2 linked regions of the Macaca fascicularis genome follow. Each later gene encodes a partner of the first gene's protein in a complex. Links are inferred from orthologs where the notes say so. Each region holds a gene or a part of one and is shown on either strand. Other genes may lie near its edges.

Region 1 (3,560 bases):
GTTGAGACTGGAAATAAGAGCAGGGCATGTGCACACATCAACATGCTAATTAAAAAAAAAAAGTAACGTTCAAAAGTATTTACGAAGATAGCAATTTTATTTTAAATACAAAAACAAAAATTACTGACTGAAGGGTGCTATCCTACAACTGGACTCTATGATATCTCAGAAGCAGAGTAGGAGATTTAGTTTTAGTGTTTTTTTTTTTTTTTTTTTTGAGAAGGAGTCTCAATCTGTCACCCAGGCTGGAGTGCAGTGGTGCGATCTCGGCTCACTGCAACCGCCACCTCCCGGGTTCAAGTGATTCTTCTGCCTCAGCCTCCTGTGTAAATGGGATTACAGGCGCCCACCACCATGCCTGGCTGATTTTTGTATTTTTAGTAGAGATAGGGTTTCATCATGTTGGCCAGACTGTCTCAAGCAATCAGCTTGCCTTGGCCTCCCCAAGAGCTGAGATTACAGGCAATGAGCCACCATGCCCTGCCTAGATGTTTAGTTTTAATTTGTGATTCTTAAATGATGAGGAACAGTATTATCAAAACTAGAAAAAGAGTAATAAGTGAAAGACATTGTCTGTTATTTTCTAATTATGTATTTATGAAAGCTGTAAGTTCTGTATTAACTTGACTTTTTTGTAATAAGACAGTCATTATAGGAATTTTAGAAAATACAGAAAAAGAAGAAAGTAAAAATTATCTATAAGCCAACCACTCAGATTACCATTCTGAGCAATTGAGTGAGAATTTCTTTCCAGTGCCATGCCTAGGCACGTGTGCTCATGTATCCATGTGTGTACACACAAAAACACAACTCTAATCTTAAAGTACACATAGTTTTAGATTGTTTCTCCCCACTTTGTATTAAGTTATGAATATTTTCTAATGTGATAAATATTATATTGAGCATTTCCAGGCTTCTGAGAACGCGACCTTAAAGAGTTACACAGCATTCCGTCAGGTGGTTACGGCTAGCCTTCTTTTAAACATGGTTTAAGTCTACTGCATGCAGATGAAAGGCACTGGCTGCCTATCAGGGACACTGATGTCTTCTAAAGCCAATGGATGCTTTAGACTTTCTCACACTTCCCCTGGCCACCAGAGCTCAACCCTGGAGAGCATCTGGGGATGGGAGAAGGGTTGGTCAGTATCTTAAGTTCATTCAACGTTGACCTCTCTGGAGCAGTCAGTGCCGGCTGGGTTGGTGGTTTAAACAACATGAACACTTGCCTCCTGAAATGGACTCGAGTTAATCTGATCTGAGGAGGCCATCAAGAAATCCATATCAAAGTTCTTAGAATTTGATTTCATTAAAACCATAAAAGATAAAGATTTAATTGTGAAAACCTAGTTTTCTTCTTTGCAAATCATAGCCCCTGTGTTACCACTGATGTCCAACTGTGCTTCCAGGACAAGCTGAAGAGAGACTGGACTCAATTGTCCATCAAACAAGCTGGTGCCAGGCTGGCACCATCAGCCTGCTCCGCCAGCTGGCTCTCCCACAGACCTAGCTGGAAGGAGATGGCCTGGCCTACTGTTCACATGCAGTGTGGCACTAACATTCATCCTTACCTTTCAGACCAATTTTAAGTTACTGGTCCACCCCTGGTAAATGTCTCAGAGGGTTCATGCCGACACTGAACATAGGAGAGGAGAGAATTTAAAAAGAAAAAAACAAAACAAAACAAAAAAACAAAAAAACAAAAAACAAAACACAAAAGTGGCATTACTTATCACCCCATTTCCCAGTGTCCACCCCCAGCCCACCCCAGTCAGTGGTGGGTGAGAAACACACTCCAGGGTTGGTAGAGATCTCAAACTGTGATAAGCTGCACTTGCCTGTTGCTAGGAAACGGTGCATGGCCAGGAGGAGCTGTGGTGATATTTTAACCTTCATCTCGCTGTCTGTCTGCTTAAAGGCAGAAAAATCTTGCTTTCGTTCCCGGTGAGCTACTTTCTTTTTTGTTCTGTTGTCAGCTAAGGGAGGAATGAAAAGAGAAAAAAAAAAAAATAAGAAAATGCATCCCATGAGATCAGGGCTCTTTCTGAATGAAAAAGACAAAATATATTGGAAGGGCTGGACTGTATTTCCAGATGCAGGCGCTCTAGGCACAGATGCCACAGGGAAGGAGGAAGAGAGGGCCAGATCCTCATCAACTCAGCACAGCAGCCTGGGCACCATGCAGTCCGCAGTGAGTGACCACAGGCAGCCTGATGAGTGAAGGTACTTCAGGAAGGTCTGCAGAGGGCCCTTGTGAGCATAGCATCAGGCAAATGCTGACAGAGCCTCTCACAGGACCCACAGAAGCATATAGCAACAGGGCGTGCAGCCTGGAGTGCACAGTCCACTGCTGCTCAATGTCACCATACTCCAGCAAAGGACCACCACTGTGTACACACAAGGGAGGAGTGTCCCTACCTGTAAGAGGCCCCTCACCTCTGCTGAAAGACAACACACAAATGAAACCCCCTTAAGAAACAAACAAGAATGCTTTCACAGAGCAGTGTTTTAATATCTGTTTGCTTCACTGCTACTCCAGACCATGAGATCCTCAAGGTCAAGCAGATGCGAATGGGATCCAGACAGTGGTCCGTGAACTTCCTCTGAAAAGGTCCAGGGAGTCAATATTTTAGGCTCTGCGGGCCTACACAGTCTCCACACTGCTGTTTAGAAAGATGTAGGAGCATGGCTGTTTTCCAATCAAACTTTATGAACACTGCAATTTGAATTGCATATAATTTTTGCACGTCACAAAGTAATTGTTTTTTTTTTCTTTTCTTTTTTCTTTTCTTGAGATAGGTTCTTGCTTTATTGCCCAGGCTGGAGTGCAGCAGCACAATCGCAGCTCACAGCAGCCTCAACTCCAAGGCTCAAGTGATCCTCTCACCTCTGCCTCCCAAGTAGCTGGGACTGCAGGTGTTTGCCACCATGCCCAGCTAATTTTTAAATTTTCTGTAGAGACAGAGTCTCACTATGTTGCCCAGGCTGGTATTGAACTCCTGGGCTCAAGCAATCCTCCTGCCTCAGCCTCCCAAAGTGCTAGGATTACAGACATAAGCCACCATGCTGGCCATTTTGCAACAATTTTAAGATGTGAAAAGACATTCTTAGCTTGCAGGTCACACAGAAGCAGAGTACAGGCACTCATCGGCTGTGGTTTGCCAGCTCCTGACCTAGAAGGTACCTCCTGCAAAACCATCTTTTAAGTACTTTTCTGGACAAAGTAATGATCAAGAAAAAAAGAGCTTAAAGACAAGACCCCAATCGCTTGCTCCTTCCCAATAACTGACTCACTGCATTATTGTTTCTTGCATGGAGCAAAACAGATTGATTACTAGGCTTTTCCTGAGAAGGCGATCACAACTTCTACTTTTCGTCTGCCTCAATTCTTTTGAGAACTAGACAGCAGAAATCAATACAGAATTTAAAATAATTCTAATGGCAACAGCTGTCACTCCCAATCTCTATCCAGATCAAGAATATACCTGAAATTGGCCAGGCACGGTGACTCACGCCTATAATCCCAGCACTTATGGGAGGCCGAGGCAGGTGGATCACTTGAG
Region 2 (4,279 bases), on another chromosome or scaffold:
TCGTCATGGGTCACCACCCTCACTATGTCGTCCAGCGGGAGAAGGGAATTACACTTGATTTCAGTGTAGACATTTTTCCCCTCTGTGCATGCTGCCAGCAGCTCCACCAGGGTGATGTGGTAGGCTAAGGGGCCACTCTCATCCCCTCGGTCTCTCTCTGAACACATCATATGGAGAAGGATGGGAAATGACGCTCTATCATTGTAAAATATCAGCACGTCTTCACCCCCATTTATCAACTGAAAAGATAATAAGAGAGTCTACAGAGCCGTCCAAACATTTATCCTTGCAGTTAATTCCAAAGGCTTGATATATCTGGAAACACATGTATCTCTTTGTTTTTTTTTTGTTTTTTTTTTTTTGATGATAAATGCATGTCATTATTTATTTAGATGTTTCAGCTCTCGCACTAAGTTTTTACAAGCTGGTGAACACTGACAAAATTATTTCTCCCACAGAACTATAACCACACATCCCCAGACAGTATAAATATATGGTTGAACTAACATTAATACACATCACCATTTTATCAATTACATAATAAAACAAATTATCAAGTATCCAAATATTAAGTTACACAGCTCAAAAGGCATATAAAATATTAGATGTCTGCTCAATTCATTAGCAGAAACCCATTTCTTTTTTTGCAAGAGAGGTTGGGAAGGGAAAAAAAAATCACACTTTCAAACAAAAATAAGTTGGTAAACATGCTTCTGATAAGTATGGAAAAAAAATTACAAGAATTTCAGGAAGTTTATGATTACAATAACAAAGCATCTCTACCTTTTAAAAAAATATTTTACTAAATTAAAGAGCATGTTCTACATGTTCTGCACAAGACAAAGGCAACATTTTGCTAAAAATAATTAATAGCCCCCTCCCATTCTTTTCTCAGGCCCTCCCTGTTAAGTTGCACCTCAGAGTGCAAACATTAAATTAATGTAAGGCTTTTTTGTCTGAAGACATTAAAGACATGTGCTTCTGTACAATGTAGATTTTCAAAATGGAGGTTTTTTTAATAACAGCACAAAGTGAGATTTATAGAAACATATTAAATGATCACTGTAAGACTTGGTAAAAAAAAAAAAAAAAAATCAATGGTTAAGCAAACCTGATGTATACCGGTATGAATGTGGGAGATGTAAACATAAAGTGAGCAGGCAAATAACCATGTAGGCCCTACTTTCAATGTTTGAAATGAGTGAAGGAATAAACCACATAAGGTCTAGAGTGTTCATAGTTCCTGGGATTTTAGTTCTGTATGGTACTAAAAATATACAAGTATTGTGCTGGGTATTTTGGCACCTAATCTTCCTAAATTTCTTATGTATTGATAAGATTCTGGCATGGGAATAGATTTAAACAAGTCATAACTCAATACTCCATGATTTTGGGAAAGGTCAATTGATACAAATGACAAGCACATTTTATACGCTGACAGCAAGAATCTTTTGCCAAGTATCCAAATAGGTTGACTGTAACCCAAATACAGAGGTTGCCAAATCTGTCTAGCTTGTGGCCTGGTAAAACTGCCTTTCAATACTCCTATGGAAGCTTCATTAGACTTACTAAGCCAACATGTTGGCTAATATGTATAACAAATTAGACCCTATCTCAAGTTCCACTTCCAATAGCATTAGGCACCCCAATTTTATTGAATGCAACAGTTGTTTCTATGACCGTTGGAATCTTTGAAACGCAGCCGCATTTTAGGACGATACTTCTCCAAATACAAAAGTTGCTTGCTGTTAAAAGCTCCACGCCGCTTTTGTCTTATGAATTGTACTGCATCTTCGTATTTCATTCCACCTTCAATTAATGCTAGGGCAACAAGTACTGGAGCTCTCCCAAGGCCTGCAACGCAATGAACAGCAATACAACAACCAGGTTCTTCACGAAACTTAATTTTTACAAGACTTAACCAGTCATCGACAATCTGGTTGGATGGTGGTGCGCCATCATCAAAAGGCCAATCAAGAACATGGATACCTTCTTTCTCCACAAGAGTAGTGTCGTAAGTTGCTTCACACACTCTTACTATTGTGGTAACTCCATACTTCTTAAGTTCCTCTATAAATTTGTTTAAGGTCGCATTGGTTGGATTGTGTGTAATAAGAAATCTCATGTTCTTGTATGTGACTTCCACAGGAGCTGGGCGGTTCATTCGAGCCATGTTAATTTAGTTAAAAAACACTCAATAGGGTTATGAAATAATTTAAAAAAATTGAATACAGAAATGATGCAAAGAAACTGAAGTCTACTTCAATATACTCCACTTGAAATTCTCAGTGCTTGAGTATGAAGTTGTAAGTAATGATAAATGAAATGAACCTCCTAACAAGCAGCAGCAATTCTTCAATCCAGTAATACTGAGGCCAACAGAAAAGAAGCGCACTGAGGTTTACCCCATCCAGGTCAGAACTCTTGTAAAATGCTCTGTGGATTTCAATTCAACACTTCTGTGTCCAGGATAACCACTCTTATGGGGGCTTCTTGGTGGAGTAGTAATCAGTTTCTACAGTTCACTTGTCTGCATAGAGGTCGTGCTGTGCCTGGCAGTAATCTCCACTGCCCTTCAGAAACTCCATAAATGTGTGACCAAGACCACCACAGAATTGAGGAATATGTTTACTCATTGAAGATTGTGGCCTAATCATACAGCCGGTCCCGAGGCGGCGGCGACACAGGCGGTGGTGGCGGCTGCAGGGCAGGAGGCGGCGGTGGTCGTGGCGGAGCGGCGGTGGCGGCGATGCAGGCGGCGGCGGGGGCACCAGACTCTACCATGCAGTGAGCGGCTCGGAGCAGAGCGCGTAGCCGAGCCGGCCCGCAGCCGAAGGAGCCAATACACGCGCCGAGGCCACATGTATCTCTTTGTAAAAACATATATAATATGGCACAAGCAGAGCTAAGCTGGGGGAGGGTGGTGAAAAGATTATGGTCCCATGCCAAGGAACCAGCTATGAATGCTATCAAAATCAGTTGGGGTGATATGGAAGCAGCAGATGGGGCAAGAATGAAACAATATGGATGATAGTAAATTGTTCATCACACTCAAATTAAACCTGTAAAAAAATAGTTATTTTCCTCTACCTTTTTTTGGCCAGGAGACTATGGCCAAAGCACAAGAAATCTCATAATTTTACTAAAGCAGAGTAAAATATCCTCATCCATTGTAATAGTGACTGCATAAGCAAGTACATCGAGCTAATTACAGCTCTACAAAAGTCTAAAAAATTCCATGTGTCATAAGAAGGCATCAGTAGAGAATGAAGGTAAAAGCAGAGACAAGAGAAATAAGTAGAAAACTAAGACCAAAAAACCAAGAGAAACAAAGATATGAATAGGTAGGGGCTTTTAGGACATAAATTTTCCTTCATATTTTGTTTATATAATTTTAGTAGAAAATTCCATCAGATGGCAGTTTTATTGCTCAAACTCCATACTATCTTATTGTCTATTATCAGTACCAATTTTCTAACCCCAGTGTGAGACATGTTGGTAGGTAACTAAGGATATACAATTTTTTCTCTATGTATTATATTTAAAGTGACAACATATTTAAATCTATAAGCCAGTTGGCTTACTTTGAAAGTTTTGTTGAAAGAGAATGTATATTTATCAAAAATATGTATTACATATTAACATAATATAATATTACAAATACTTCTTTGTGCACAGAAACACTTCACCCAACAGTGTCATAGGGATGGTTTCACTGTTTGCTGCTTCCCCATTCTAATTCTTTCCTTGCTGATCATAACACAAAATCCATTTAGTTCTCACATTTCCAGACAATGAAGAGCTAATGTGAAGGTAATTTCAGAGAAGAAAAAGGTGCATTTTACAAGCTTAAAATGTTCCTTAAAATGTTTAATAACAATAATTTACATTTAAAAATTCAAGGCTTTAAGCTAAATTAATTTTAAGATTTCTAAGTGGCAGGAGGGACTCCTTGAAGCATTATGGAAATTTCCTCCATTCCCAAATTTAAGGTATATACTAATGAAAATGCCCAGAAACCAATAAAAATCTACCATGTAACTATTTGGTAGCCATAGGTGGAAGCTCCCTTAGTCCATATGGGCCACTAGAGAACCATTTGGTCACAGAGTAGTGATTTAATCAACGGGCTCTTTAAGCTGCTACTTCTCCAATGCATCATACTTGAAGGCAATAGATGAAGTGCCTTCATCTATTCATTTGCTGAAAGTTACAACTTACTCTAAATAATAAGTTTCCACATGTTGTAAAAAAAAAAAAAATCACTGTTGGGTAGTTT

What was found. The genes of interacting proteins can lie anywhere in the genome.
Region 2: the proteins of CNNM2 (region 1) and protein tyrosine phosphatase type IVA 1 are in contact, whole or in part, in a crystal structure (PDB 5MMZ), measured with the Mus musculus proteins. The link is inferred for Macaca fascicularis from reciprocal best matches to the Homo sapiens genes CNNM2 and PTP4A1. Residues at the interface, in NP_291047.2 of Mus musculus: Phe526, Asp528, Val551, Asn553, Glu556, Gly557, Asp558, Pro559, Phe560, Tyr561; in NP_035330.1 of Mus musculus: Asp72, Gly73, Ala74, Gly107, Leu108, Gly109, Arg110, Arg137, Arg138, Gly139, Ala140, Phe141, Asn142, Lys144, Gln145.

What each region holds. Positions count from the first base shown.
Region 1 is NC_088383.1:112,089,989-112,093,548, reverse strand, and holds part of CNNM2 (metal transporter CNNM2), read right to left. Parts: intron 1,974-3,560; coding exon 1,836-1,973; intron 1,634-1,835; exon of another isoform or gene 1,569-1,633; intron 1-1,568.
Region 2 is NC_088385.1:29,336,092-29,340,370, forward strand, and holds protein tyrosine phosphatase type IVA 1, read right to left. Parts: upstream 2,859-4,279; 5' UTR 2,174-2,858; coding exon 1,652-2,173; 3' UTR 335-1,651; downstream 1-334. Other genes in the region: inositol 1,4,5-trisphosphate-gated calcium channel ITPR2, read right to left, coding at 1-239. UniProt on the Homo sapiens protein: Protein tyrosine phosphatase which stimulates progression from G1 into S phase during mitosis. May play a role in the development and maintenance of differentiating epithelial tissues.